3 linked regions of the Cricetulus griseus genome follow. The protein of the gene in region 1 interacts with the protein of each later gene in a biochemical or structural test. Links are inferred from orthologs where the notes say so. Each region holds a gene or a part of one and is shown in the gene's direction. Other genes may lie near its edges.

The links.
Region 2: the proteins of Clns1a (region 1) and Prmt5 form a complex in vitro, tested with the Homo sapiens proteins (5 studies listed by BioGRID and IntAct, with this or other methods). The link is inferred for Cricetulus griseus from reciprocal best matches to the Homo sapiens genes CLNS1A and PRMT5.
Region 3: the proteins of Clns1a (region 1) and Snrpd3 form a complex in vitro, tested with the Homo sapiens proteins (2 studies listed by BioGRID). The link is inferred for Cricetulus griseus from reciprocal best matches to the Homo sapiens genes CLNS1A and SNRPD3.

What each region holds. Positions count from the first base shown.
Region 1 is NC_048596.1:101,794,730-101,805,186, reverse strand, and holds the start of Clns1a (methylosome subunit pICln), read left to right. Parts: upstream 1-5,371; 5' UTR 5,372-5,461; coding exon 5,462-5,586; intron 5,587-9,764; coding exon 9,765-9,901; intron 9,902-10,457. UniProt on the Homo sapiens protein: Involved in both the assembly of spliceosomal snRNPs and the methylation of Sm proteins.
Region 2 is NW_023276807.1:209,729,874-209,740,391, reverse strand, and holds the start of Prmt5 (protein arginine N-methyltransferase 5), read left to right. Parts: upstream 1-3,511; 5' UTR 3,512-3,557; coding exon 3,558-3,667; intron 3,668-4,269; coding exon 4,270-4,388; intron 4,389-4,654; coding exon 4,655-4,740; intron 4,741-5,731; coding exon 5,732-5,866; intron 5,867-6,329; coding exon 6,330-6,442; intron 6,443-6,567; coding exon 6,568-6,617; intron 6,618-7,913; coding exon 7,914-8,077; intron 8,078-9,206; coding exon 9,207-9,368; intron 9,369-9,797; coding exon 9,798-9,875; intron 9,876-9,964; coding exon 9,965-10,023; intron 10,024-10,106; coding exon 10,107-10,229; intron 10,230-10,312; coding exon 10,313-10,488; intron 10,489-10,518. UniProt on the Homo sapiens protein: Arginine methyltransferase that can both catalyze the formation of omega-N monomethylarginine (MMA) and symmetrical dimethylarginine (sDMA), with a preference for the formation of MMA.
Region 3 is NW_023276806.1:263,059,838-263,070,120, reverse strand, and holds the start of Snrpd3 (small nuclear ribonucleoprotein Sm D3), read left to right. Parts: upstream 1-3,942; 5' UTR 3,943-4,096; intron 4,097-5,333; 5' UTR 5,334-5,349; coding exon 5,350-5,475; intron 5,476-10,283. Other genes in the region: protein GUCD1, read right to left, coding at 3,066-3,108. UniProt on the Homo sapiens protein: Plays a role in pre-mRNA splicing as a core component of the spliceosomal U1, U2, U4 and U5 small nuclear ribonucleoproteins (snRNPs), the building blocks of the spliceosome.

The sequences.
Region 1 (10,457 bases):
AACTGCTGGCAGCAGTCTTCATGGCACATTTTACCATGCTGTCGCCACACCTTTTTAAATGCCAGTACTTTTTTTGCTATCTGATAATTTTAGCATTCTAATTTACTACCTGTAAAGCATAACTATTCTTCCATGGAACTGAATTCATCTAAATGTGTCATAATTTCTGAGTAACCTTCACCTGTCAGCTAATTTGGGAAATAATTTTCTTTGCTTAGGGGCCATGAATTTCAATGTGAAGAGTACAAATTCCAGATAAGACTTTGTAAATTGTCTTATTTTTGAATCTCACTTTGATTTTATAAAGTAGTAACTCAGTTAGTTCCAGGAAGCATCCAATCAGAACATGTCTTGGATTTTCAGATGTGCTTATATGAAATACTTTATTTTCCCGATGCATAAAATATAAAACATTGGAATAGTTCTCAAAATACTGTTTTTAGATGACAGCTATAGCAGAAGCTCCAAGATTAGCATCAAACTAACTCTTGATATAATCAGGACCATGCTGTCAGTCCACGAGAAGCTGGAGTGTGCTGCCATAGTGTAGTCCCGAGTGTGTAAACTAAGTGCAAAGGGATCTGAAGACTGGGAACTCGATTCTGACAACACAAGTCAAGTCTGTGTGTGAGAAGCATGGCAGGCCCTGAGAGTGCAAAGCTTCAAGAGTGTTAGGACTGCAGTGCACAGTTGTTGAAATAAAATATTCCTGTGACAACCAAAATATGTTGTGGCTGGTGCCAATATTTTCGTTAATGAAATGTTGAATGTCTGTCTCAGTACAGTCTGATCAGAATTCTCAGTGTAATAAGCCAGGCCTAAGCCATTTTACAGCTCTTGGCCTAACTGTAACTTTTTTTCCCAAATGTTTTATTATAATACTTGTCATTTCTTTCACTTAATATATGTCAATTGTCATAATAAAAAGTTTAAATAAGTCAATGTACTTAGCATTGTGTTTGAACACTTACCTAGAGCACTCAGAATTTTCACTAACTGGTTCATAAAGGGTTAAGATGGTCTGTATCACCCAGGAATAGACTATTATTCATGATCTAGGAAGCAAATTTGCAAGTAGACCAACTTCCTTAAAAATAGTTTTAAAGGCTACTCATTTATTTATTTATTTTGGTTTTTCAAGACAGGGTTTCTCTATGTAGCTTTCGGGCTTGTCCTAGCACTCACTCGATAGACAGGCTGCCTCAAACTCACAGAGATCCCCCTGCCTCTGCCTCCTGAGTGCTGGGATTAAAGGTGTGCACCTCCAATACCCAGCGTTTTTAAGGCTATTTATCAGCTAGGTCTATACAAATGACAACACCATTCTTGGTTTCTGTTACTTAGCCTCTGGAGAGTTGACACATTACAGAGTCCAGGGCTTTGTTCTCTGAGAACACAACCTCACCAGAAATCAGCAGCATAGGGCAAAGGTTTTCAGTTCCTTTCCTGGCTGGGGAATGGGGTTGGTCTCTCTCTCTCTCTCTCTCTCTCTCTCTCTCTCTCTCTCTCTCTCTCTCTGTGTGTGTGTGTGTGTGTGTGTGTGTGTGTGTGTGTGTGTGTATGTGTACAAACACACAAGAGAAGAAACACAAAGTAGTAGTCTCATCTAAATGCTGATACCTTTCTTAGTATACCTAAAGTTTTGTTTTGTTTTTGACTGCAAGCTAGCAAATCTGTCAGTACTTGAAATTCCAACTCTAAACTACAGATTAACATTTATGTAAAGAATGTCAATCAGGATTTCACTTAATGGAATAATTGCTGGCTTATGATGGTAAGAAAATCGTCAGTTATATTCACAATTTGAGATTTTTAAACAAATCAGCTAAGAATCAGTCCCCGATGGCCTTTTGTTAATGTTTTTATTTAATGTGTATGGGCGCTTTGTCTCCATGTATACCTGTTTACCATGTACATGCATGATGCCCTTGGAGGTTAGAAGAGGACATTAGATCCCCTCAACTGAACTGTTGTGAACCACTACATAGGTTCTGGGAATTGAACCTGGTTCCTCTGGAAGAGCAGCCAGTGCTCTTAACTGCTGGACCATCACTCCAAACCACAGCTCAAACAATTCATTGATTCTTAGCTGAGCATGGGGCTAGAACATAGCTCTTAACTTTCATCTTAGATTAAGAGACCAGAGGATGATTTCTTTAAAAATCTAAGATTTAATTCACTAAATAATGATCATTTAGTAGAAGTGGAATTATAATAAAACTATTTTAATGAAATTAAATGTTAACAGTTAGGACCCTTCTGGATGAGGTAAATGCTTACGAAATTTTGACTGAGTTCTGTATGATTACTAAAGTCCAAATGACAATCAAAGAGAAAGAACATTAAGAGGATATGACCTACGAACACAACATTAATGCATACAGTCATATCCCATAGGAAAAGTTAGAACCTACAATACATGTCCACAGTATAGGCCACCTTCCCTACTCAGTAACACTTTCCCATTTCAGAGCCACTTGACTTAAGTTTCTATCTTCCTTTCTAGCCTGACTCCAAGAAGACTTTTTGTAGCAACCCCCTGTATATAATACGTCCTTTACCGGGTAGCCTTCCTATCATCTTTCCGTCTTTCCTGTCTCAGTTCTGTCCCTGATTTCCATTCTGAATATTCCTATGAGATGTCCTTCCTTCAAGGTTGAAAAAAAAAAATGCGTCTGTTCCCATTTAATGTCTTCTAGTTATTTTTTGCTTGATTTTCAGTATTTAAAATAAACAGATCATGGAACTGTTAAACTGAATTTAGAAGTTCTTACAAAAATGAAACTAGTTTCTAAGAGAAATTCCAAGAAACCAACAGGCTTTATGGCAACAATTGAATACATAATCACAAACAACAGTTACAGACAGCTGACATAACAGCACTCAGGAGACATAGGTAGGGGGATCACAAGTTGGAGGCCAGCCTGGGCTACACAATAAGTGCTAGAAGTCCTCAGCAAGTCACATTTTCTCACCTTTAATTTTAACTGTAAATGGGCATAACAACTACCCTGCCTACCCTCACAAAATTACTATAAAGGAGATAATGGGTGAGGAAATCATTCTTTTAAAAAGTAAAACACTGTACAAATTTAAGTGCCTACTATTTATGCTATCCACAGGGATTTTTATGAGGAGCAAAAAATATAACCCTTGCTCTTCCAGTACTTGATGCTGGTCTGTTTGTCACATTTGCTTAACCACCTCCTCTGGCTGGCACTATGAGTTCAAGGGTTCCTTCACAGAGCTAACATCCCTTTCCTCAGTTACCATCTTAAATAAAATGTTTTGCCATTGAGCTATCATTCTGTAAAAATGACTAAGACAAGTTAAGAAATTATTACACTGGTTTTAGCCAGTTTTCACGTGTCATACATGGGGATTCCATTTCTGAGCAAAGCATTGGTGGTTTCATCAAATGTCTTAGGGCAAACCTCGAATTAATTGTTTCTCAAACGTATTTTTTTTTTTTTTTTTAAAGTACTGGGGACGCAACTCAGAGCCTCACATATACTAGGCTAGTAGTTCTGCCTGAACTCTGTTACCTTGGAACCTACTCTGGAAACCTTTCTGAATTCTCCGACTTAGAAATAAATAAATAAGCCTACACCTACTCAAGTTTTGAAAGTGGAAATTTAAAAATGATATTTAACCTCTTCTTTTTGACTATTCTCGTCTACACGTCTACACCTTCACAAGCTTTTCCTCTCACTCTATATCAAAAGTATGAGGATTTTAACCTTCGACGAGCTCTAGATGACTCTTTTGTCACCCCTCACCCTTACTGCCATCTTCTCACCTATACCAGGGCCACACCTTCTCCTTCCTGTTCGGTGCTTCTCTCTCCTAGTCTGCTACCAACAAACTAACCAGTCTCAGGACTGGAGAGATGGGTCAGCCTGTGGGAGAGCCTAAGGCTTTTGTGGAGGACCCAGATGGGTTCACAGCATCCACTGCCTGTGATGAGCTCTGGAGGAATCCAATGCTCTCTTCTGGATTCTGTGGTCGTCTGCACTCACACGTACACACACACACACACACACACACACACACACACACACACAGTTAAAAAGTAAAAATAAATCTTAAGAAAACATCTCCACACTAAAGACTCCTCTGTTGAAAAGATACCAAGAAGAAAAAACAGGGGAAAAAAAAAAGAAAAACAAAACTCTTAAGACAATCTATATGTTTTGTCATCCAACCTAAACAGCCCTAAACCCATAGCTATTACAACTTTTTTAAAATGGTTTTTCAAGACAGGGTTTCTCTGTGTAACAGTGCTGGCAGTCCTAGAACTCATTTTGTAGACAAGGCTGGCCTAAAACTCAATGAGATCCACCAGCCTCTGCCTCCCAAATGCTGGGGTTAAAGGCATGCACCATCACCGCTCACCCGGCTGCTGTGACAATTTTATAGTTAAAAAAAAAAAAAAAATGAAGCCTAGAGATTGGCTGACTGAATTCCATCCTCTGGGTCTCTCATTTCTAAACTCTAGCTTGTGAGTTTAATGCCTCAGCTCTCATGTGTAAAACGGAGTCAGTTAATAGAAAACTTGTTCTTATTATTTATCATAAAGAAAAAAATATGAATTAAGCAGATGTGGTGATGCTTGCCTGTAACAGTACTTGTAGCCAGAGTAGGGTGCATGTGGATAAAAACAACAAACAACAAGAATCCATGAAGAAATGAGAGTGGTAAAGTGCTTACGCTGTGTGGCACATAGCCGTCGGCTACGGGTGTCTATTTACTAAGTCTTCACTGCTCTTTCTTTGGGGCCTAGAAGTTCCCGATCAATGGCTGCCTTTCCCCTCGGCGCTGTCTTTGGACTGTCTCGCCGCCCTTTCGTTCAGGTAATGTAACCTCTTTGCGCTGCTGTGGCGTGGCACGTGGGGATGGGGCGCTATGAGGCCTAAGACGGAGGTCTGGTGAATGGCTGTGTGAACCGGTGAGATCAGGCCCGATGAGGCGGGAGCAGGAAGAACCGCGCATCCAACCGGGGGACTTCTGACCTCCAGATGAGTGTGGACTCTATTTCCCGTGCGTCCTCCTAGGCCCGTTCCGGGTTTTGTTTTGGAAGGCACAGTATTCCTTAAACATACTCTCTCAGGGATTGCTGTGACGACCTACAAATAGAACCACAGCGAAAAACACTGTTATTCTAAGCCTCCTCAGAGGGGCGGGGCGGGGCGGGCGGGGTGGGGCGGGGCTGGCGGGGCGGGCGGGGCCGCGAGTGGGGGTGGGTGGAAAGACCCATATCACGTGACAAAAGCCAGCCGGGTCCTCACGGACCTCCGGCGTCTAGACCGTCCCATCTCTATGGTCAACGGCTCGCCGAACCCAGCGGGGAGGAAGTTGTTCTTCCGGGATAGCGCTACTGCTTCCGGGCCTGCTCATGTGGCCTGGGGTTGTGGTGCTCCGCGTCTAGGATCGTGCGGAGGGAGCTAAGAATTCACCCGCAATGAGCTTCCTCAAAAGCTTCCCGCCGCCTACGTCGGAAGACGGGCTCCGGCTGCAGCAGCCAGACACCGAGGCTGTGCTGAACGGGAAGGGTCTCGGCTCCGGGACCCTTTACATTGCGGAGAGGTAGGGTCCCCGGGCTCCGGCGCTGGCCTCCTTCGGGGGCTCCTTCCTCCCTTAGGCACGACCTCGGGGCTGCTGCGGGGAGCGGGGAGCGACGCTACGAGTATGGTGGTTGAGAGGGCTCCCCTCTCCCGATCCCACCTGGCTCTGTTCTCTAGACGGTGTTTCTCCTTAACGACTTGTGCTTTTTACCGGCCTGTCTTCTGGAGCCTGGCGCGTGGTCACGTTTAGAGTTTTGAGTCTGCAGAGCCTATGTTAGTTCTCGATGTGCCTGGCTTTCTTAATAATCGTGTGAGCTACCTGTTTTTACCTGCGTAAGATATGTGAGTTCAGTGTAGATTGTGAAGGGTTTGGGACCTTTGGTTAATGAGCATGGATTTTTCTGCTCAAGGTGTGGGTGGGGAAAAAGAGCATCTTCAGGCCCACGCAGGGCGGGGTCATAACCAGCCGGCCCTGACTCCGGTCCTGGAAGGAATCTTACTGTTGTTTGACTACAGCGCTTTGTACTTTCACAATAAGGTAGACACGTCACTGGAACACACACTCTCTCTCTCTCTCTCTCTCTCTCTCTCTCTCTCTCTCTCTCTCTCTCCTCTCTCTCTCTCTCTCCTCTCTCTCTCCTCCCCCCTTCCTGTCCTTCAGAGTGTCTGATTTACCTTCTGCTATATTTCATTTGTCCTCCACGGAGTACATCCTCTGCTTTTAAAAGCTCGTGTTATAATATTGGGCCTGACTAGAAAATCCAGGCTAGTCCCCTTATTTCACCATCAGCTGATTGTCACCACAGGGGCCGAGAGAGAGAGAGAGAGAGAGAGAGAGAGAGAGAGAGAGAGAGAGAGAGACAGAGAGAGAAGGTATTAGAATGACTTACAGGGTATGGTCCAGCTAATCCAACAATGGCTGCCAATGAATGGAAATTTCAAGAATCCAGAAGTTGCTCAGTCCAAGAGGCTGGGTCTCTCAGCAGATCTTCAGTGGATGCTGGAATCCCATTTCAAGATCAGTATTAAAGTCTTTCTGCCTCAAGATCCAGATTAGAAGTGGATTTTCCAATGGGTGCTGGTGCTGCATGCCTTTAATCCCGGCACTAGGGAGGCAAAGGCAGATCTCTGTGAGTTCAAGGGCAGCCTGGTCTTCGGAGAGAGTGCCAGGACAGCCTCCAAAGCTGCACAGAGAAACCCTATCTCGAAAAACAAACAAAAAAGTTACTTTTGAGCTTAGAAACAATGCCTCTTTGCATGTCATTCCAAAATTAATTTTAAACCAATTAAGGTCAGGGTCTCTTACTTTTCTGTACTGTTTTCAACTCTTCACCAGAATTAAAAGATACTGCTTGTCCTTATTCATAAGTGTCAGAGTTTAACAAAACATTTTTCAACTGGTGTTTACTACTCTTTTAGTTCTTGTATTTGCATTTATGACATTTTGTTTTGTTTTTTATGACTGGTCATAGTTAATTGTATATCTTGGTTTTGGAGTACTTCTAGAATCTGTGACAAGAGACAAAGCAGGGTTAGAACTTAAGTCAAATAAGTATTGCTTGCAAGTGCCACATCCATTCTTCATGAGCCTCTCAGAGGAGCACTGTGCAGAGACAAAATGCTGTCATTCTTAGGGGCTAGATAATGATTTCAGCCTCTAAACCAAAGGCCATAATTTGCTAGACACTGATTTGATTTAGATGCTAACTTTTCCACTGCCCGGTGGAGTTAATAAAGGTTTTGTGGCTCTGAATATTTGAAATTATTTTGGATGGGTAAATCTGAATGTTCCATTCTAAATTGTGGTCATGTCAAGAGATTTTGGAGGTGAGAAAGGAAACATAGTTTGCTAGGTCTATTCTCAGTACCCATGAGCACTGTTTCATTCCCACATTAGAGAAGAGCTGTGTGTGGGAAGGGAGGATATGTGCAGCACACAGTCAGTTACATAAGAAATCTGTTCCGTTACAAGCAGTAGGGACGAAATAATTCCTCAAACTATTTTTTCCCCCTGAGATAGGGTTTCTTTGTGTAACAGCCCTAGCTGTCCTGGAACTCACTTGCTCTGTAGACCAGGCTGGCCTCGAACTCACAGAGATCTGCCTGCTTCTGCCTTCCTAGTGCTGGGATTAAAGGTATTTGTCACTCACTACCTAGTTATTTTGAGACCTGGATTCTGTGTAGCCTAGACTGGCCTGGCATTCATTATGTGGCTCAGGTTAGCCTTGAACTTAACAGCAGTTGTCCTATAGCAGTCTCCAGAGCGCTTGTATTATACCTGTGATCCATGGTCAGCTTGTCAGAACTGTATGGAAAGTAGGGTGAGGCTGAGTATGGGGGCACAGGCTTGTAATTCCAGCACTTGCCATGTGGAGTCAGGAAGAGCAAGAGGAGAGTCTAGAGTTTGTGATTATGGCTGGGCAGGGTGGAGCAGGTCTTTAATCCCAGCACTGGAGGCAAAGGCAGGCAGATCTCAGTGAGTTCTGAGAGTCAAGCCTATTTAGAGACCTTGTCTCCAAGAGGGGAAAAGGATCATGGCCAACCTGGGCAACAAGCTAACATGAGCTAAATGTCAAAGCTGGAGGAATGGGGAGGGAGGGAGGAAGAGAATAAGGAGGAAGAAATTGGAGAGGGTACAGGATATGCATATGTTCTGCAGAGGTATGTCCCTATTCCTTTAATTTCTGTTTTAAGTTTTAATTAGTATACAGTAGTTGTATAAAAAATGACTTTTATTAGGATATTCCCTTTTAAAGTAGCATTATTGACATGGTTTCCATGCCATACAACTTATTCATTTCATTCATAGAAGTTAATGGTTTTTATTATGCACTTTTATCTTCACTCAGTCTTAGAACATTTTGTTGTAGCCCCCCAAACAAACAAACAAACAAAAAACCCAATGCTCATTTTAGTAGTTGTTCCCTGTTTCCTTTCAGCTCTGAAAATGTTTTTGTGGCTTTTTTGGGATCTTGCCTCCTGCCAAGGTCTTTTCACTGGTTTTTTCTAGATTGTACAATTCATGTGGGAGAAATACTGCCAAGAAAAATTAGGCATCATCTGTTAAAATTCAACCTACTAACTTTGGTGATATGTTTCCTTTGTTATACCATTAAAATATTTGTGCACTTTTAAGGGGAAAGTGTTTTGTGGCTTTTTGTTTTTCTTTGTTTTTAAAAATGTTATTTTATTTGCATGGTATTTTGCCTGCATGTTTGTCAGTGTATCATGTGTGTCCCAGGTGCCTGTCAAGGCCAGAAGAGGGTGTCAGATCTCCTGCAGCTGGAATTACAGATCATTGTGAGCTTGGAATGTGGGTGTTTGGAATCGAACCTGAGTCTTCTGGAAGTGTTCTTAACCACTGAGCTGTGTCTCCAGCCCCTGTAGCTTTTTCTTAAAGCTGGTAATAAATGGGAACTTTTATCTTGTCTCCTAAGGTAATAGTAAATTTTTTTTTGAATTGTGATTGCAATCACATCTGTTTTGTATATATATCATTTAATATATGAGGTGTGGAAAGGTTGATGACCATTTATCTTGCATGCTTACCTACGAAGAACTGTGCTAACATTTTTGAAGAATGTTGAATAAAGGGATGGAAGTAACAGAGTACAAACATGGTTCATTAGCCTACTTAGTGCTAATGTGTGTTACCAAGCACAAGTGAAGTTTGGAACAGAAGTGGTCCTTGTAAAAAGGAGGTCTCATGGAGTTATTGGGGACTTGACTAGGTGAAAAGATCTGTACAGCAAAGAGGGTAATGGAGACATTCTAAACAAGAATGAGCACAAGAAACAAGCACAGGGAAGGGGCTGAGAGCTGCTCTTTCAGAGGACCGTAGCTATATTACCAGTACCCACATGGAGTGTCGACAGTCTCCCTTACCTTCAGCTCCAGGGGATCTGATGCTCTCTCGGCATCCACCAGTATCCACATGCATGTACACATAGTGGAGAAATAAACACGGATGACTTGCCTCTCAATTCTGTTTGAATTTATATTTAGAGGGAAAAAAACATAAAAGAAAAAATTCAGTTCTTGTTACAAAATTTTCTTATTTTAAGGAGTATTTCTAATATTGTCAATAAATTTGAATTTCTTTCCATGCATAAAAGTGTCCTGGTTGAACATTTATATATTTTGGAATATTAAGTTATGATTTAATTTTTAAAAATAATGTGCCTAAACCATGTTTTTCAGCCGCCTGTCTTGGTTAGATGGTTCTGGATTAGGATTCTCACTGGAATACCCCACGATTAGTTTACATGCTGTTTCCAGGGACCCAAATGCTTATCCTCGAGAGCATTTGTATGTTATGGTGAATGCCAAATTTGGAGGTATGTATGGTGTAATGTAATGTAGTGCTTCCTCTGATAGCAAAGTATATTTTAAGGGACAGTGTTTGTTTTGAGATGAAGTCTGACAGATTAGTTGCTGTCAGTCCTGAACTCCTGGGCTTGAGTAACTGTCCTCATCCTCCCAGATACTGACATTTTAGGTGTGCCACTTTACCAATCTAAAAAGCAATCTTTGATGATGTAAATTTTAATCCAGTGACCCACATTGCATAATATCATATTAAGCAAAATTAAATTACCTAAAATAATTTGGCCATTTGAATTTCTTCTAATGGGAATTGGGTTTGTGTATATCTGCCTTTTATTTCCTATATATTTTTACTTAGAACTCTTCTATTAATATGAATATATTTCTTTTTTTTTTAAAGATTTATTTATTTATCATGTATACAATGTTCTGCCTACATGTATGCCTACAGGCCAGAAGAGGGCACCAGATATCATCATTACAGATGGTTGAGTCACCCTGGGAATTGAACTCAGGACCTCTGGAAGAGCAGCCAGTGCTCTTTACCTCTGAGCCATCTCTCCAGCC
Region 2 (10,518 bases), on another chromosome or scaffold:
AGTGAGCATCTCTCCCTCCCCTCCCCTTCCCAAAAGTCTCTAATGCTCTGCTCCATTGTCATTAATGTCTACCAGAAAAGTAAGTTTATTTATTATTATTTACATGTATTTATTTGCTTATTTATTGGTTTTTCAAGATAGTGTTTCTCTGTGTTTCCCTGGCTGCCCTGAAACTGTAGACCAGGCTGGCCTCGCCCACTGCACCCTTATTTCTTACCTAGACTATTTGGTCTTCTTCCATGCCTGTCTTCATCCCAGCAAAGCCCCCGTCCTGTTGTACAGCTGAGATCTGTAGCTTTTGAGGTCAGAGGACGACTTTTGGGAGTCTGTTCTTCCTCTTTAGTAAGGTTCTGGGTCACCAGGCTTGTGTGGTGAGTGAGTGCTTTACCCACAGAGCATTTCACTGACCTGAACTCTCTATTCTTTTTCTCTCAGTCTTTCCCTTCTTGCTATACACAAACCTGTAGTTACATGCTTTTCCCCCTTCCAAGTGACACAGGAAAAGGATGTGGGAGACAGCAGGAGTAGTGTGTGACAGAATTCCCAGGAACTGCTTGGCATCATACCCAGTAGGTGGCCAAAGCCAGTTTTAACGAAGAACAAAGACAACATAGAGGGAAGAAATCCAGCCCGATAGATGTCCATACTCTTGAAAAGTATTTTAACTAGTGAAAACACAGTGTTTCACAGGCTTTCCTTCTTTCCCTCTCACCTATGGATTTTTAACAGCCAATGGAACAACCACTACCTTGTTGTCAGGAGTGAGACCCAGAAACACAGACGGTCCACAACTAGACATTTAGCTTCTGAAAGAACAAACACCTACCAAGACTTTGCTGGATGCAGTTTGCTGGGCACAGCTGAGGCAGAGACAGGAACCCTCCTTAACAGCGTTTGTGTGTGTGTGTGTGTGTGTGTGTGTGTGTGTGTGTGTGTGTGTGTGTGTGTGTGCGCGCAAATCTTTTAAAATTTGAATTAGAAATAAGATTGTTTTACATGACAATCCCAGTTTCCTCTCCCTCCTGTCCTCCCCTACCACCCCCACCAACTAAAACCCTACCTATCACATATCCCTTCCTTAACAGTGTTTTTATCTCGTGGATTGTGGGCAGATTCACTTCCCACAGACATCCACTGGAAAGATCTGCAGGGAGAATTGTAAATAAATTCTGCCCCCTACAGGAGAGGCCCTGTAGTTCTCCAATCCCGTGGCGTGGGCAGGGCGGTGCAGAGTGGAATCCTTCCAAAAAGTATAGCATGGAAAATTGTCATCGGTGGAGCCACTTGCTCTTGTAGACCAGGCTGGTCTCAAACTCACAGATATCCACCTGCCTCTGCCTCCCGAGTGCTGGGATTAAAGGCATGTGTCACCAGCGCCCTGCTTTCTTTCCCAGTTTAATCAAAAGAAAAACATGAGACAAGTTCCAACAGAAGGGCATTTTAACATCATCAGAAGTAACAATCATTAGGAACAAAGAACATCTGAGAGATAGTCACAGTCAACTGGAGCCTAAGGACACATTCGACTAAATGTGATGTGGTATCCTGCATAAGATCCCAGAGAAGCAAGCCGGGCGTTGGTGGTGCATGCCTTTAATCCCAGCACTCGGTTGGCAGAGGCAGGCGGATCTCTGTGAGTTCCAGACCAGCCTGGTCTCCAGAGCGAGTGGCAGGACAGCCTCCAAAGCCACAGAGAAACCCTGTCTCGAAAAAAAAAAAAAAAAACCCCAAAAAACAAAAACAAAGATCCGGGAGCAGCAAAAGGGGGGGTGGGGGGTGGGGGGTGGGGGTGGGTGGGGTGAAGGTGGGGGTGGGGGGTGTGGTGGTGAAGGTGGGGGTGGGAGTGGGGGTGGGGGGTGTGGTGGTGATGGTGGTGTGGTGAAGGTGGGAGTGGGGTGGGGTGGTTGTTGGTGGGGGTGGTGGGGTGGTGTGATGGTGGTGGTGGTGTGATGGGTTGTTGTTGTTGGTGAAGGTGGTGTGATGGGTTGGTGGTGGTGGTGGTGAAGGTGGTGTGATGGGTTGCTGTTGTTGGTGTGATGGGTGGGTGGTGGTGGTGGTACAAAAGCATCCTCAACCCCTCATTGTGAATTTTCTTGGTTTTCTGGTTTCCTGGCTGTTCTTGGGGTGCGGGGTGGGGGGGACTTACGTTACCCAGGGTTCCTTAGAGCCTATTTTCTCCACGCCTTCCTGTGTTGCTAAGAGCACTGTCCTCCATAATCCATGGTGACCTCACTAGTCAAGACTCCTGTCTGGAAACGTCCAAATACGTGTGGTTCAGATCATTGTCCCTGCAGCTCTCTATCACACGGCGCTCTCTGGATGGCCAGTCTGCACCCCGAACCCCAAATCCGATTCTCCCTGAACTCTCCCACTTCAAGGGCAAAACGCTGCTGCGTGGCATTACTATTTCCCCCTCCCGGTTCCTTGCTACCGAGTCCCTGAATTCTGTCAGTGCCTTTTAACTTTTTTGTTTATTTGTTTGTTTGTTTGTTTTGTCAAAGCTGACACAAGGCAGAGGGAACTTCAGCTGAGAAAATGCCTCCACAGATTGGCCTGGAGGGTCCTCAACGTCTGTGGGCTTCTTGCCTCAGGTACGTGTTTCCCGTTCCCTTCCGAGGTTCTTCCTTGCCTGTGCCATTTCCTTCTTTTCCAGCTGTTGACAGGGGGAAACGTAGGTTCTCTCGGCCCTCCGCGAGGCAGTTTCATGACTCCTGGGCACTGTAATCGCTCATGAATTCCTTTTCTCTGAGGGGTGCGCGCGCGGGCAGGTGTTTCTTTACATCTGTGCTTGAGACAGAATCACTAGGAATTAGTGGCTAAGTTACTACAGAGTATTTTTTAAGTGTAGTATTTTTTAAGCATAGTAATGAGACAAAGCTCATCTTAATAGTCCATTCACCGAAATTTTCATGCTCAGATTCACTTAATTATACAAGAAACAGCTTTGAAAAGAGGAATGAGACACGCCAGCATGGGATGGCTGAAATACCGAACCAGGTTAAGACCTGGAAATGACAGCGTAAGCAGATAGTGAAGGAAGTACAGCGGTTGTGAGACAAGAGCAAAACGTTACAGGACTAGTGGGGTTTAGGAACACTGGGTTAGCAAGGGATGCAAATAAAGGAGTACCAGTCCCAACGAGCCAGCCAGGAGTCGAACCTGGAATCTTCTGATCCGTAGTCAGACGCGTTATCCATTGCGCCACTGGCCCGCAGACATTTTGTGGTAGCCCAATGATAGTACTTCAGGCTAACTGCAGGGTTGCATGGGACCTGTAGTCTTTCTCCGGAGTGCTTCAGACGGATGCGGCATTCTGGGAGATTGCAGAGCCTCAGCAGTGACGGCCTGTCATTGGTCGAGCCGGGGAGCCACGCCTACGTCACGGTGCGGCCTGTGGATTGGCGGGAGCGGCCGCTCGGTCCCTCCGCCTCCGCTCGGGAGCTGCGAAGACGCTCTGGTTGTTAAGGCGACTTGTCCCGCCTCCCGGGGACTGCTCTCGGCGTTGTGATTGGTCCCTAGTAGCAAGGAATCCCGGCGTGGGCCGCGCGAGGGAAAAGATGGCGGCGATGGCAGTCGGAGGTGCCGGTGGCAGCCGCGTGTCCAGCGGGAGGGACCTGAATTGCGTCCCCGAAATAGCTGACACACTGGGTGCTGTGGCCAAGCAGGGGTGAGGAATGCGGGATCCAAATTGGGGACCAAGGAGGGCAGACTAGTTCCCCGCAGGGGATGAGGGCTGGAGACACCATTACTCCTTGAGTGGGGACGACTTCGGTTCCAGGAACGAGAGGATGAAACTCTGGGAGGCGTGTGGTCACCGAGTTCAAAAGTCAGGGGAGTTGTTGGGTAAATTAAAGGCGGGACGCGAGTCAGTCCGTCTAGGGCCTTGGAGGCTAAGATTATTTGAGAGGAGAAAGAAGTATTTTAAGGGGGCAAACGAGAGAAGAGGTTAATCTGGCTGGGGGAGGCATGGCAGTATTGGGACAAATCTGGATTTGATAGCCCTGGAAAGCCAGTGTTATCAGGGAAGAAAGAATGCTATTTGCCTTGGATGTCCTTCTTTTCTCAGTCATCTTTCATGGCTATGTTTTGGGAAGAAATTGATGCACAGTGCAGAGAAAGTTAAATGTCCCAAGATGGGCTGAACTCAGTAGCCCCGGGGGGTGACTGATGGCTTTATAGAACTGTGCAAAATCAAGATAGTTTAAACCCAGTTGGTTGATCTCTGGGTCCTCACTTTCCATGATAATTCTGAGTCTGTCGCGGTTGTAGGTTTGATTTCCTCTGCATGCCTGTCTTCCACCCGCGTTTCAAGAGGGAGTTCACTCAGGAACCTGCTAAGAATCGACCTGGCCCCCAGACACGATCAGACCTACTGCTGTCAGGAAGGGGTAGGGACCATCCCGTGTGCCCCTTGATTGTTAGAGGCAGTAATAACTTCTGCTTTATAGGTCTTCAATTCCCTCCTTTTCTGACTTGGTTGTACTGGCTAACCCCTGTGATATAGGTAACTCCCCCATTCTTCAGGCTATCCCTGTATCTGAGAGAAAAAGGCTTGTTTTCATCTCTACTCTATTTCCTGCTGAGAACTAGAAATTGAGCAAGAAAATGCCAGACCTCATTGAGTCTTTGTCTTTTCTTGGGTGGGGGAGTGCAGACTGGAATACGCTAATTGTGGGAAAGCTTTCTCCGTGGATTCGTCCAGACTCCAAAGTGGAGAGGATCCGAAGGAACTCTGAAGCGGTAAGGCTGTTTGGTTTTTCTGTGGGGTCCTTTTTTTTTTTTTTTTTTGGTTTTTTTTTCGAGACAGGGTTTCTCTGTGTAGCTTTGGAGCCTATCCTGGCACTCGCTTTGGAGATCAGGCTGGCCTTGAATTCACAGAGATCCGACTGCCTCTGCCTCCCAAGTGCTGGGATTAAAGGCCTGCGCCACCAACGCCTGGCTCTGACCTAGGTCTGACCTAGGTGCTGTGACCCACCCCTACCTGTAACCTCAGTGTTGGGGAGGCATTCCACACCGGAAGATAATGAGGGAGGATTGAGAGTTCCAAGCCAGAAAAGAAAAGGAGGGTGGGAAAAAAGGAAAGAAATTAGTTCTGTCATCAAATTGGGTTAGGAGAGTAACTCCCACTCCCCAGAACCTGGTAAATCAGAGTACAGTTAAGAGTCTGACCCTGGGTGTGGTGACTCACATCTGTAACTCAGCAGAGGCCATCCTCGAACTGAGTTGGATGCCAGCTTGGTCTACAGAGAGAGAGTTCCCGGCCTGTCAGGGCTACATACTAAGACCCTATTTCATTCCAGTTTTAATGTATGTGCTGCTGAAGTGAGCATATGATCCTGTTGCCCTCTTCAAAACAAAAAAAAAAAAAAATAGTTTGAGTTCAAGACTAGCCTGGTCTACATAGTTCTAGGATAGTCAGGACTATGTAGACAGACCCTGTCTCAAAAAGACAAAAATAACTGAGCAGTAGTGGCATCCGCATTTAATCCCAGCACTTGGGAGGCAGAGGCAGGCGGATCTCTAAGTTCGAGGCCAGCCTGGTCTACAAAGCTGGGTTCCAGGACTGTGGAGGCTGAGTGAGGAGGATTGCCTCCAATTCAAGGCCAAATTGAGTTACATAGGGAATTCCTGACAGCCTGGGCCACAATACCAGATCCAGTTTAAACTCCTCTCTACCCAGGAAGTATTTGGTTCCTAGTTCTTAATGGCTTTTTCTTTCCATGTGTTTCAGGCTATGTTACAGGAGCTGAATTTCGGGGCATATCTGGGTCTTCCAGCTTTTCTGTTGCCCCTGAATCAGGAAGATAACACAAACCTGGCCAGAGTTTTGACCAACCACATCCATACTGGCCACCACTCTTCCATGGTAGGCTTCTGTGCTGCTGAGTATCATGATAGTCAGCTGTGTGAAGTGACTTTTGCCTAGTTATGCCCCAGTGCTTTTGGCCGAATTGAAATGTCAGTACTGCCCATCCCACCCAACCCCCAATTTTGAAGTGGCATGGAGAGAGCTTCAAGCAGAATCTATGGGCTTAGAGGTGCAGCTCAGTGGTAATCACTTGCCTAACATACATGAGCCTCTGGGTAAGAGTCTTAGCACTATAAAACAATGCCAAATCATAGAAAATGCTTGTTTCTAGCTAAAATAAAAGACAAGGGAGGTATTTGCATAAGGATGTGTATAAGATATTAAACACGGATGTAATCAAATTCAGAAGGGCATATAAAGAGATTAACTTGAGATCTGGATCAAGATCTTTTGAGGGAAGCTTTCTGGACCCAATTAGTTGAAAACAGTGTTCTAACTAATGGTAACTGTTCATATGCAGTTCTGGATGAGGGTGCCCTTGGTGGCTCCAGAGGACCTGAGAGATGATGTCATTGAGAATGTCCCAACTACACACACAGAGGAGTACAGTGGGGAAGAGAAGACGTGGATGTGGTATGTCTCCTCTTGGCGCTTTACCTGTATGGGGTGGGGTAAGGAATATTGAGGAACTGGTAGAAGAGCTCCTTGAGTCATAAGCCATATGCATTTGACAGTGTTTTGTTTCTGAATCTGGGCAGGTGGCATAACTTCAGGACTCTGTGTGATTATAGCAAGAGAATTGCAGTAGGTAAGTGCACAAGGGTCCTGGGATAGGAGGAACCCCGTAAGAGTAAGAATCAGCAGGCTGGGTGCGGTGGCCCACCACTTTTCATCCCAGGGCTTGGGAATCAGAGTCCAGTAGATCTTTTTGAATTCAAGGCTAGCCTGGTCTACTTAGTGAGTTCGAGGATGGCCAGAATTATGTAGACAGACTCTATCTCACAAAACAAAGCAAAACCCCCAAATAGCCAATCGGTGGTGGTGGTACACGCCTTTAATCCCAGCACTTGGGAGGCAGAGGCAGACAGATCTCTATGGGTTTGCGGCCAGGCTGGTTTACAGAGTTCCAGGACAGCCAAGGCTACACAGAGTGACCCTGTCTTGGAAAACAAAAACCAAAAATAAGAATTTCAGTTTAGAAAGTTCCAGAACAGTCAGGGCTACATAGAGAGACTGTGGTTGTTTTGTTTTAAAACAAAAACAGCCAGGTGGTGGTAGTTCCAGCCTTTAATAATACAGGAACTTGAGAAGCAGAGGTAGGCAGATACCTGTGGGTTCAAGGCCAATATGATCTACAGAGCTAGTAGTTCTAGGATAGCTAGGGCTGTTACACAGAGAAACCCTGTCTCAGAACAAACAAACAAAAAATCCAGTAATTTCAGGCCTGGAGCAATGGCTCAGTTGAGAGCTCTATTGTGAGGACCAGAGTTCAGATACCAGCACCCACATTGATGGGCTCACAACTGCATATTTACTCTGGCTCCCGAGGATTTGATGACTTCTTCTGGCCTCCATGGGTAACTGCACATACATGCACATAAATAAAGAGAATCTATAAATCTAAAAAAAAAAAAAAAGGAAGATCAACAATTTGGGGGGGGGATGATGTAAGGCAATTGGCAGAGCACTTGGCTTGCCTGTATACATGAAGCCCTAAGTAAGATCCATAGCACACATGAGTAATGGCACATGCCTGAAATCCCAGCACTTAGGAGTATCAGAAGTTCACAGGAAGTTTCAGTACTTACTGGGCTACTTGAGACCCACTCTGAAAATAGAACTAGCACTGACCATTCTATTTTCATGCACCTTTAATCCCCAAACGAGAGGTGGAGCTCTGTGAGTTCGAAGCCATCCAAGACTATACAGTGAGAACCTGTCTGAAAAAGGGGACAAAGAAATGAGTTCTGTGTGTGTACTGGGTATTTTGGCTGCTTTCCCTGGGCTCAACCACCAGTTTTCAACAGAAGGAAAACGCTTGTACCCAGTAAGACAGGGCTGCCTGCCTAACAGCAGGTGATAGGCCTTTTTCTTGTTTGTGTAGCTCTTGAAATTGGGGCTGACCTCCCATCTAATCACGTCATTGACCGCTGGCTTGGAGAGCCCATCAAAGCAGCCATCCTCCCCACCAGCATTTTCCTAACCAACAAGAAGGGATTTCCTGTTCTTTCTAAGATGCAGCAAAGGCTGATCTTCCGACTCCTCAAGGTGAGTGAGTGGCCCAGTGGAATCTCCTAACTTACTTGTCCATGACTTCTTTTCCCTCTGGAGGAGGGTCAGGTGACTTTTGGAGAAGGAACCAAACTTTATGAGAAATTTGTTAACATAAGTATTTAAAGTAAAAGGTTGGGTATGGTGACGCACACTTCCAGCACTGGAAGGCAGAGGCAAGCAGATCTCTTGAGTTCCAACTCAAAGTGGCCTTTCAGGCCGGCCAGGGCCTGTTTGTCTCAAGGCAAACAGGCAAACAAGTAAGAAATTAAAGGTCCTTGTGTGGGGGAGTGTGAAGGTCCTTGTGTATGTATAGGGAGTGTGAAGGCCCTTGTGTGTTTACAGGGAGTGTGAAGGCCCTTGTGTGTGGGAGTGTGAAGATCTTGCACTTACAGATCACCAGAGAAGCCAGAAATGTTAGGCATGCAGGATTGTCCTTTCTAGGGGAAGGACGGAAAACCTGTTTATCTATTGGGCCAGGCCATATCAAGTCTCCACAACCAGAACCGCAGGTGGCTAGTAGTCTAAATGACCCTTACATTAGCTACATAGCCAGGGGCTTCCCCCAAGCTCCCAGATGTGGCTAGTAGTCCAAATGACCTCTATGCTAGCTGTGTGAAGGAGACCATGCCAGAGCCTTTCTTAGGCCCTTAAGCTAGTACAGGTAGCCTATCTCTAGAACCAGTCTTCTTGGAAGAAATGACAGATACTTTGAGTTTTGTGCCCTGGGGATTGTATTATAACAGGAAACTTTTTCTTAATTTTTACTGTGTTTAAATATGCTTGACAATAAACTGCCTGGCATCAGACTCTCAAAGTTTGATCCAGCCTAAGCCAGGCTAAGAGTTTTCATTCTTATCTCTTTGTGCATCGTTTCCCTGCCTGCCATGACACCTGCAGGGATCCTCTCCCTTGTGGCATCCTCTCCTTTGAGTCAGGATGATGCTTAGGCAGCTTATATAGCATACAAGGACTTCATAGATTTTTCAGAGCCCCCTTTTGGGGGAATTGATGCTGGAGAACTATTGGTGTGGGTTTTATTTTATGTTTAGGCTTTTGGTCATAAACCATAATGTCTGAGAGTCATGGTTGTGGCCTGGGTCTCATGATCTGACTTCTCTCACAGTTGGAAGTGCAGTTTATCATCACGGGCACCAACCACCACTCAGAGAAGGAGTTCTGCTCCTACCTCCAGTACTTGGAATACTTAAGCCAAAATCGTCCTCCACCCAATGCTTATGAACTCTTTGCCAAAGGCTATGAAGACTACCTGCAGTCCCCACTTCAGGTAGGTTTGGAGTACATTTACAGAGTTGAGAGGAGGGACTAGAGAGGTTAATCAGCAGTTAAGAGTGCTGCCTTTGCTTCCAGAGGACCTGGATTCTATTCCCAGCACCCCCATAGTGGCTCACAACTGTAACTCCAGGCCCAAGAGATCTGATGCTTCTGGTGCCCTTTCCTCAAGCACTGCCTGCGTGTGGTGTGCAGACATGCAAATAGGCAAAAGACCCATACACAAATATTTTTTAACTTAAAAAAAATACCCAAAAAGCCACCATAAAGTAATAATATTAAAACAACAACAATAATAATAGCAAGAGATATCTCTTAGAGAAAGTGGTCCAGGATCCTATTACAATTCAGGAAGCAATGGGAGATTTCGATATCTTGACCATTTCCCCTAACTGGCCAACTTGTTCTTTCCTCTTTTTATCAGCCACTGATGGACAATCTGGAATCTCAGACATACGAAGTATTTGAAAAGGACCCCATCAAATACTCTCAATATCAGCAGGTATAGTGTTGGCTTCAGGGTGGCAAAGCACAGGGTAAGATCAGCGAAGAAGGGATTGTAGCTGTAAGGTTTTCTGTCCTTCCCCCCAGGCTATCTACAAATGTTTGCTCGACCGAGTGCCAGAAGAGGAAAAGGAGACCAATGTCCAGTGAGTGCTTTCCCTATGTTCCCAGGGAGCTCTGCACCTGATTGTCCACCTGCTCAGTTTGCTTGACACTTCCCTTCTCTTAGGGTACTGATGGTGTTGGGCGCAGGCCGAGGCCCTCTGGTGAATGCGTCTCTCCGGGCAGCCAAGCAGGCTGACCGGCGGATAAGGCTGTATGCTGTGGAGAAGAACCCCAATGCTGTGGTGACGTGAGTAGCAGCCTGCTTGCTAGGCAGCTTGTCCTAGGTCCCAGTTTCCAGCTCCGGCTCTTATTCTGTCACCTCTGTTTCAGGCTAGAGAATTGGCAGTTTGAAGAATGGGGGAGCCAGGTGACGGTTGTTTCTTCAGACATGCGGGAATGGGTGGCTCCCGAGAAAGCAGACATCATTGTCAGTGAGCTTCTGGGCTCCTTTGCTGACAACGAGCTGTCGCCTGAGTGTCTGGATGGAGCACAGCACTTCCTGAAAGGTTTGTCCAGGTTGGGTGCGTGAGGCAGTT
Region 3 (10,283 bases), on another chromosome or scaffold:
AAGCAAAACTCTCATACACACAAAATAAAATAAACAAGTCTTTAAATAAGAAGTTGGGTCTTTAGGGAAGCCATTCAGTCATGGAGTCTCTGAACTTGTGCCTTATAAAGGGCCAGGAAAAATAACTTAGGCTGTGTCTTAAGTCTCCTTGCCAGCTGCTGCGATGAACCCCTTGACAAAAGTAACGTAGGGGGGGAAGGGTTTAATTTAGCTCACAATTCCAGGTTACATCATCATGTCTGGAAAGCCACAGTAGTAGGAGACAGCCAGTCATACCACATCCAAAATCAGGAACAGATGGCAAGAATACACGTGTGCTTTTGGAGAGCCCTTTTCCCCTTTGTGTCAGTCTGGGGCCCAGCCCAGGAAACAGAGCTGCCCATGTTCAGGGTGAGTCTCCCCAGTTCAATTAACCCATTAAGAAAATCCCTCATAGGCAAACCAACAGCCCAGTCTAACCTAGACAATTCTTACTAAGGCTCTTTCCCCACGTGATTATAGATTATATCATGTTGACAAAACTAAGAAGCTGGAGATGGCTCAGCAGTTAGAGTACTTGATGCTTTTGCAAAGGACCCAGGCTCAGTTCTGTTCCAGGCACATACACAACGGCTTACAGCTGTCTGTAACTCCAGTTCAAGGGGTTCTGGCATCCTCTTCTAGCCTCTGAGGGCACCTGCATGGACACACATGCAGACAAAACACTCGAGCCACACAAAACTTTATAATCAAAATCTTAGAAGAAGTAAAGAAGAAAAAGCAAGCTAACAGTCATAGGCCTTTTTCTTTTTATCCTTCTGATACTCTGCTGTGCAAGTTCTCTTTCTTTCCTCTCTCCCTGTCATGTGGGCATAGCCAGAGAGAGTTGGCTATAAGAAATGGATGGATCTTGTACTGAACTTACCAGCACCCTGATCTTAGAATTCTCAGCCTCCAGAATTATGAGAAAATAAACAAAGACACCAGGTAACTTGCTGGTTTTGTCTGCTGTTTCCTTGTCTAGTAGCTAATGCTTAGTAGTGACCCATCATATTACTTGAGGCTGGGGGCGTAGCATTGTCAGGGACCGAGGTTCAATCCCCGGTGCTACAAGTTTAAAAAAAAGGAAGGAAAAAAAAGTCACTTACTGAAGGAACGATGAGCTGTGTGAGAGGCTTCAGGCAAACCAAGGTGATGTAAACCTCAGTCTCCAGAGACTCAAACCGTTCTCTCTCAATACACTGATGGAAAACTCTCTGCAGAATGAGGCGCTATCAAGATAGGTGTCTTCCCTTTCCAGAATCCTCACTGAGGCTGTAAATGCCCTTTTTGCTCTGATCTACTCAAGCTGATTACTACCTGGATCTTGTTTTTATCTAACCAATGATCTGGAATGTGGCTTTCTCACCTCTGACATCCAAATGTTCTGCCCCTCCCCCTCCCCCTCCCCCCTCACATCAGGCTCATAGAGGGGGCATCTGCTTTCTCCCTGGTGGGCCTGAGAATTCTGTAATAGGCAGGTAGGGTCAAGGTTGCATTTGCCTCTTCCCAGACTTTACCCATAGCTAGCATTATTCTATGCTGTTGAATAGGTTTGTTTTAAAGCTCTACCCCTTGAAATGCCTCCTTGTCACTACAGAGCCTATTAGTTCTAGGCTTCCAGATCACAACCCTTTGTTGGATACTCCCTCTTCTCTCTGTGGCCTGCACTCTGGTTCTAATTAGTTGGGGCCATGTCTTCTCTTATACTGTTATAAAATGTGGGCTAGGAAGGTTGCTCTTCAGGGTCCTAAGAAACTCAGCGATCTCTCTCTCTCTCTCTCTCTCTCTCTCTCTTTCCCCCCTCCCCCACTTCACTCAGCCTTAGAACCCCTAGATCCTGAGGCCTCACGAGGCAAATATCCCTACTTGGCTATCCTGATCTTGGCACAGGCAAGATGTTTTCTGGAAGCAGGTGATAAGTGTAGGAGAGGCCTTGGTATTTGTCCAGATAACAGCTTTAGCATTTAGACTTCAAAACTGCTGCTGATATTGATGTCTGAAGCCAAGAAGTGACCCTACCTGAAAACTAGGGTCTGCTTTGTTTGTGGCCTGGCTTCAGTTGTCTGGTTGTCCCTAGTGAAGGAAAGCAGTCAACTCTCCCTGGACACATTATCCCTCTCAGCCTCAGCCTGCTCACCTCAAAAAGTACAAATAACAGCAGTAGCCTACTTCACCGGGATTTATGAAAATTAATCCTATACCATCTATAAACACTTTACCACTGTATCTACCTCTTAGCTCGACACAAGTGAGCCATTATTTGCTGAGGCTAAGAAAGGGCAACGATCTTATCAAAGTTCACAGTTAGATAACTGGAGGAGTAAAAATGTAAATCCCAGGGTAGGTCCAAGCCCTGCTCCAGCCTACCACCAGAAGGAACCATTCCCCGAAAGTGGTGTTACTCTCCAATTGACACTTAAGGAAGGGCTCAGGCCCCAAACCCCTTGACCCTTCCCATGAGATAGCAGCACGCCACAACAGCTTATTAATATATCAACTCTTGTGCCCCAAGCAGAGCTCCACCATGACTTCCAACTTTCCCCACTTCTTGAGCAAGCAAAGGGGTTCGGGTTTCCTCGGGGCGGAGGGAACCAGAGAGAGAAGAGTACTAAGACAAAAGCGCTGCGTTTGGGAAGCCAGATTAAAAAAAAAAAAAAAAAAAAAAAAAAAAGGCCCTTCCCTTTGCTGAGGGATCTCAGGCCGTTCTTTCCCCCTTCACAGCCCCAGGCCTTCCACAGTTCCCCCTAGGAACAGCATCACGCAACGGGGTTCAAGCAGGACCATTCGTTTCTGGGGAAGGCAGTGCCTTTGCCCCCTCGGACTTTTGCACTTGACTGCTCTCAGAACTCCCCGAGAAACAACCAGAAGCGGAGGACGGGAGACGAGAAGGAATATCCATCCACCTAGCTAAGGTCCACTGGAAGCTCCAGTCTGGGCTGAGGCCGCCTGCGGCCCAAGGTCGCGCGGCCAGACCCTGCCCAGCTCCAGGGCGGAGTCCCCCTCGGTTTCCCCGGTGAGGGCAAGGCCCTCTGAGAGGCACTGACCGGGCTCGAGCGGCTGCCCCGCTGCCTCTGCCTCCGTCCTCATGACCCGGGTGGCGCAGGGCGCCCATGGCCCCGGCCTGGAGCTGATCGCAGCTGCGACTTGTGCTGGGCAGCGAGCGCGGCCAGTGTGGGGAGAGTTCCGCCGCCGCCTCTCCTCCTCCTCCTCCTCCTCCTCCCGCCGCCGCCGCCACCGCCGCCCGCCGCCGCCGCCGCCTCCGCGGTTCAGAGCCGGGTGGGCGGGGGCTAGGCCGCCTCAAGCCCCGCCTCGTCCCTGCCAGGTCCCCGGCCTGGAGACCCGCCCCTCCCCTAGGCCACGCCTCCTCGCCCACCCACTTCTCTCCCATAAAGAGCGACCCGCAGGGCCCGCCTTCTGCGGAAGCCCCGCCCCTCCCGGGCCCCGCCCCCAGGCCCTTCCATAGCGACGTTGGCTCCTCCCAAACCCCCTCCGCTCGGCTTGCTCCTTTGCAGCCCCGGGTGTTAGCGCCGGCCCCTCGCAGTGCCTGCCTCATCGAAACGCCCCGGGAATCCTCCTCTGCCTCCCTTTCGGTCTTAGCCACACGATGAAAAATGCCAGTTTCCCACGCTCGGTGCGCCGCTTACCTGATGGCGACCAGATCCAAAGCTTAGATTCCTAGTCCAAGCCTCACTTCCTGTGGCACCACAGCAATTTTGGGGCTCCAGCCTAGCTCCCGCCCAATCCGTCCCTGGAGTACTTTGTAAGTGGGGGGGGGGTCTCCATGTTCCTTTTGGGGCTCGAGGACGGATGCTTCCGGCGGCCCCCCGGGTCCTCTCCAGGGCCGGAACGATAATGCCAGAGCCGTCGTTTTCCGAGCCGGCGGAGTTAAGGAGGAAGCATACGTCAGAGCGCTCTCGCCGCTGGGGAAAGGAAGAGGAGGGGCCCTGCGCGCGGTATCCTGGGAACGCGTGGTATTCTGGGTACCCCGGGCCCGCCATTCCCTCGCTTCACGCCTTCGCCGTGTAACGTTTGTGCCAGGGCCGAAAGGGAGCCGGTGAGGAGAGGCGGAGAACCGGTAAGAGGAGGCCTAGGCGTCCCCGGAGGGTTAGGGGCAGGAAGGGAGCCTGCGGAGGAGCTCAGCGGGGCACTAATGGCGGGCGGGAAGCCTGGGCCGATCCAAACACCGTCTCACCCGCGCTTGGAGCAGCTCCTCGTTTACGCCTGTCTGCGCGTTCTGTGCCTTTCCGGCTCGCCGATTTTCGGAGCTCGCCCGCAGTCGTTTCTCACGAAATACCCCCTTTCCCTGTGTGCCCTCCTTTTCAGCGTCCTCTGCATCCCTGCTCCCCTCGGATTCCGGCGCTGGCCCTCCCCTGCCTTCCACGACTGCTGCACGAGTCTTAGCGAGTCGCTGTGCTGCAGAAGGGCCATGTTCGAGCTATCCTGCAGATGCTGCTATTATTCCTTTTTGTTTTCTACTGAGCCTTTGGCAATGACCCTTTTGTGTCCCCCCCCCTCCACCGTTTTCAGCATAAAACTCACACTCCTTAAGTTGAAAGCCGTGGTTCCTCACCAAGAGAGACAGCGCCCAGCATCCTTATAGCCTTCTCATGGACATAGGTGGGAACGCTCATCACAGTTGCGCTTAGCCTCCGTCTTTTACTGAGGCTTAAATCGAGCGTCGACCCTGATGGTGCTCCTGTGAGCATTTCCTGTCACTTTGTGAACGCCTTGCTATCTTATCAGGGTCTATGTCTGCTGAGCACTTGGAATATTACTAGTGTGACTGGGAGGGGAGGGGCTTTTTAATTTATATTTCAGTTGAATAGCTACAGGTAAGCAGTGATTGCTTTTGAGGTCCATATCATAGTTCTTGGGTGACTATAAAGGGTCATGTGTTTGGGAATAGATAAGAGGCACTCTTCATTCCCACCAGCCTCTTCTGTCCAGCTTGCTTGCCATCCTTCCCAGCTCGAAGGCAGTGTGTCCTTGCCATGGTGGTTCCTTCAAACCAAGAGTCAGACTCCTTCCACAGAAAATGCAGCTTAGGCCGGGCGGTGGTGGTGGCTCACACCTTTAATCCCAGCACTCGTGAGGCAGAGGCAGGCGGATCTCTGTGAGTTTGAGGCCATCCTGGTCTACAAGAGCTAGTTCCAGGACAGCCTCCAAAGCCATAGAGAAACGCTGTCTCAGAATAAAAAAAAAAAAAGAAAGAAAGAAAGAAAGAAAATGCAGCTCTGACATATTTGCAAAGGGTATGGTATGCCAGTCCTTCTTAAGCTCTGAAAGACAGCTGTTGTCTCTCTCTTCCACAGGAACACTCCTGCCAAGATGTCTATCGGTGTGCCGATTAAAGTCTTGCACGAGGCTGAGGGCCACATCGTAACTTGTGAGACCAACACTGGCGAGGTGTATCGAGGGAAGCTCATTGAAGCAGAGGACAACATGAACTGCCAGGTACCTTGCTTTGCACCTGTGAAGGAACTGTGGGTGAAAGGTAATATCTCTGACTGCTCCAGGTCTAATACACATACCTTGGAGTTGTCATAGAGAGTTCAGATGGCTGTGTGTTCACAGTGGCCAGCTCAGTGCTTTGCGTGCAATAACTGGTGCCTGTTAACTGTATTCCACATGAGAAAAGTAAAGGTTGGAGAGGGAAAGTACATTATTTAGAATCACACCTGTGGGTCAGGTGGCCTGACTATTGCCTTTTAGGGTTTGCATTAGTTATTTCCTGTGGCTGTGATAACACACCATTAGAAGGGGTTTTTTTAGGCTTGCAATTACAAAGGAATGAGTCCATCGTGGAGGGGAGAAATGGTAATAGCAGGACGCTGAGTGCTTACATCTTCAATAGAAAGCTTGAAGTAATGAGAGCTACCTGGAAGTGTTGGAGGGTATTAATCTGAAAGCCTGCCTCCAGTGACATTCTTCCTTCAGCAAGGCTGCATCCCCTCATCCCACCCCCCCCAAAACAACCCACCAACACATGGGGGCCAAGTGTGCAAATGCCTGCAACTGTGGAGGATACTTTTCATTTAAACTACTGTAATTGTGCTGCTTAGTTTTTTTGTCAACTTGGTGCAAGTGAGAGTCACCTTAGAAAGGGGAACCTCAGTTGTGAAAATGCCTATCCTATAGGCAATTCTGTGGGGCATTTACTTGATTAGTGATTGATGGGTAAGTGCCCAGCTTATTAAGGGCTAAGCCACTTCTAGGCAGTTGTTTCTGGAATAAGAAAGGAAGCTGAAGGCTGAGCATGGTGGTGCACACGTTTAATCCCAAGACTAGGAGGCAGGGGCAGGTGGATTTCTGAGTTCCAGGAGAGCCAGAACTGTTTCACAGAGAAGCCCTGTCTCGATAAACAAAACAAAAAAGATGTATTTGTCTGTTTTAGGGCATTTAGTTTTGGGAGTAGAATGAAAGAATTTGGATAGTGACTATTAATATATTTAGTATGCTGCTCTAATTAATGAAACTTACCGAGGTGGGCTTCAAACAGCCCAACTATAACAGGAATTTGTCTGACTAGATTATGGTATTCTCAGAAGTGCAGCCCATGTGATGCAAAGACACAAATCTTAGTACATTATCAGGTTAAATCTTGGAAAGCAGTGTGTCTTGTGTGTGAGCTTTGTGCTGCCCTTGCCCCCTGTTCCCTCCAGAATCGGTGATAACAGATGAATGCTCACTTTGATTTACTTTAGAGTGTGTAAACTGAGGTACTGGGAATTAGGACTTCATTGTGTCCTAATTTTTGCAGGGACATAATTTAGCCCATAATACTGCCCACATCAAGATGATGAGTCTTCATTAGGTTGACCCAGAGCCTAAGCACATTGCATAAAGATCAGTAGGCTGTGTAGAGCAAACCCCAGCAGCAGGTGAGCACTGACCACTTCACTAGTGTATCTCTGGGATTGTGATGGCTCCTGCAGGTGCCCCTGTCTCCTTCCTGGTCCCCAGTCCTTTAGAAATGAAGGCATCCTCCAAACACCTCTGCATAGTATTTTCTGTTTATAAGCTGGGGCAGAGTCAGGCAGGGTAGTACACAGCTACAATCCCAGCACTCAGGAAAACTGAAGCAGGGGAATCACCACAAATTCAAGGCAAGCCTGGACTTTGACACCATGTCTCAAAACAACAGCAAAAAACCTGACAGATTTGATACCTGAGAGAATTCCATCATAACCACTTCTTTCCCTGTATTGATATATTATTTATGATCTAGTAAAGCCATTGGGATCAAAATGCAAAGCTAGCCACAGCCATAGAACCAGGCAGTGGTGATATACACCTTTAATCCCAGCAACCATACTAGCTAGCCATAGAGGCCAGACGACAGTGGTGGTGCACACCTTTAATACCAGGACTCAGGAGACAGGTGGATCTCTGTGAGTCCAAGACCACCCTGGGCTACAGGAGAGTGAATCAGCCAAAAAGAATAACAAAGCTCACCCCTTTAATCCCAGCATTAGGGAGGTATAAAAGGAAGACACAAAGGATTTCATGTGAGACTTAGTTTTTAGACAGGGAGAGCATTGTACTTTGAGAATTAGAGGAGACAGGATCACCCATTTCAGCCTGGGATAGAGGTAAGAACTAGTGGTTTGGCTGCTTTGCTTTTCTGATCTTCAGCTTGAACCCCATGTCTGTCTCTAGGTTTTATTATTTGTGTTCCATCACCCTGTATGTATTGACATAGATAGACTTCTTTAACCTGTGTGCATTTAAATGCAGCTTAGAGAAATTATGTAAGTAGGATATTCTTTTTGCAATCTATGCTACTGATAGTGTCCAGCAAGTGTTCTCGCTACTCAGCTATGCCCCTATCCCTGTATATAGTAGCTTCAAAGTAAGGAAATGGGCCATGGTGCAGCTGAGCTTGATTAGAAAGCCAGGTAGCTGGTACTTAGACTGTAAACCTGAATTCCTCTGCTTTTAATAGTGGTACATTCAGGTGTGAGGTTGGGCAGAAGGAAATCATTTTTAGATACATGAGATACAGGTTTCTCTGGCATTGAGATATAGGAGATCCTATTAAATGATGTTCTTCGATGCTGGAGCGATGGATCAAAGGTTGGGGACACTGGTTGCTCTTTAAGAAGAGCTGGGTTCAATTCTCAGGACCCACATGGCAGCTCACAACCATCTGTAACTCCAGTTCCAGGTGATCTGATGTCCTCTTCTGGACTCTGAAGGGCACCTGCATGCACACTTGTGATGCACATGTATGCATATACATTAAAAAATGAGTAAACAATTACCTTTTTTTGAAAAATAATGTTCTTACCAGTATCGTTGTGTAAAAATCCTTGTTTAGGATCCTCAGAGCCTTATCTCTTGATAAGGAAGCGCTGTACCACTGAGCCACACACCCAGAATTTGGTTGTTTTTACATAGTTTGTGTCATTTGAAAGTATGGAGAGGGAGAGAACTGATTCTGATCACAACAGACATACCTGTAGCATGCAAACGTATGTGCACATATATACACAAAGAAATGCAATCATTTAAAAGGGAGAGAAAAATTAAAAACTTTAAGGTGATGTTTTTGAGTCTCCTGAACTCTCTTCAAACCTAAGTCTGTCCTTAAATGTATTGACTTTCCTATCTCTACCTCCTCCCAGGGATTTTATGATTACAAGTGTGTGCCAACTGTGACCAGTTTCATAATTTTTACTGTGTGATCTATTCTAAACCATATTCCAGGATGCTAATATGGGAGGACATTGTATAGTTTTGTTTTTAAGATGGAATGTTACTATAATACATATATATTGTTTTTACCAATGTGGCAGTTTGAATGTAGTTGGTCCCCATAATCTTGTAAGGAACAGCACTGCTAGGAGGTGTGGCTTTTTTTTTTTTTTTTTTTTTTTTTTTTTTGAGTGAATATGGCCTTATTGGAGGAGGTGTCACTGTGGGGGTGGGCTGTGGGATTTCCTGTCCTCAGGATACCACCCAGTGTCTCAGTCGACATCTTGTTGCCTGCAAGTTGTAGGACTCTCAGCTACTTCTCCCATACCACATCTGCCTGCATGTGCCATGCTCTCCACCATGATGGTAATAGACTGAACCTCTGAAACTGTAAGCAAGCCACCCTGATTAAATGTTTTCCTTGTGGGGCTGGAGAGATGGCTTAGCAGTTAAGAGCACTGGCTTTTCTTCGGGAGGACCCTGGTTCAATTCCCAGCACCCACATGGCAGCTCACAACTGTCTGTACCTCCTGTTCCAGGGGATCCAACACCTTCACACAGATATAAATGCAGGCAAAACACCAATGTGCATAAAATAAAAATAAATTATTAAAAAATGTTTCCTTGTAAGAGTTGCTGTGGTCATGGTGTCTCTTTACAGCAGTAGAAACCCTAAGACACATGTCATTATTCCTTTCCCAATTAAAAGTGAATATGTCATAGAATGGATGATTTAGAGGAAAGGGGTTTATGTGTAGACATGTAACATACAAAGGTAATGACCTTGTTGCTAATGTGCAGATTGTCATTTATAGATGGCACTAATGATCCACCACTGAAAACAAGGTAGTAAGGCTGCTGAAAGGGTCTTGGCCACTTAGCATGTTCTTCCTGGAAGTGACTTGGTCTGTCAGTCAGTTTTTTGATACAGTAACTCTACCTCCAGTTAAAATGATAGTTGTGGGGGCTGGGAAGATGGCTAGTGGTTCAATTCCCAGCACCCACATGGCAGTTTACTACTGTAGCTCCAGTCCCTGGAGACTGGATGCTCTCATGCAGACATACATGCAGGCAAAACATCAATGCACATACTTATAAAAATAAGTAAAAAATTTTTTAAAAAAAGCAAAATGATAGTTGTGTGTCCCTTTCAGTGTTTTTAATAAGGAAAACTCTCAAAAACCAGTATTTCTGTTAATAGAGCTAAATGAATTATAATTAAATTCACAATATAGCAGGCTTTGAACTTCACACACACATACACCATCTCTTCTACATCCCAAGTGCTGGGATTACAGGTATGTGCTAACATGCCCATGTTGTTTTCCATTAGTTTCTATAATCAACTCTAGTTAATACAGTATGTATATTTGTACAAATGGAGAAAAAGTACGTTTAGCATTTCTAGACCCATGTGGCTGTTAACACACTAAACGGAATACTTTTCGACAGCAGCTAAAATTTCTAAAAACCAAATTTTATTTATTTATATTAAAAAAATAATATCAGTATGTTATATATCAACAGCTTTTCTGGGTTCTATAGTTACTGATCATGATTATGGA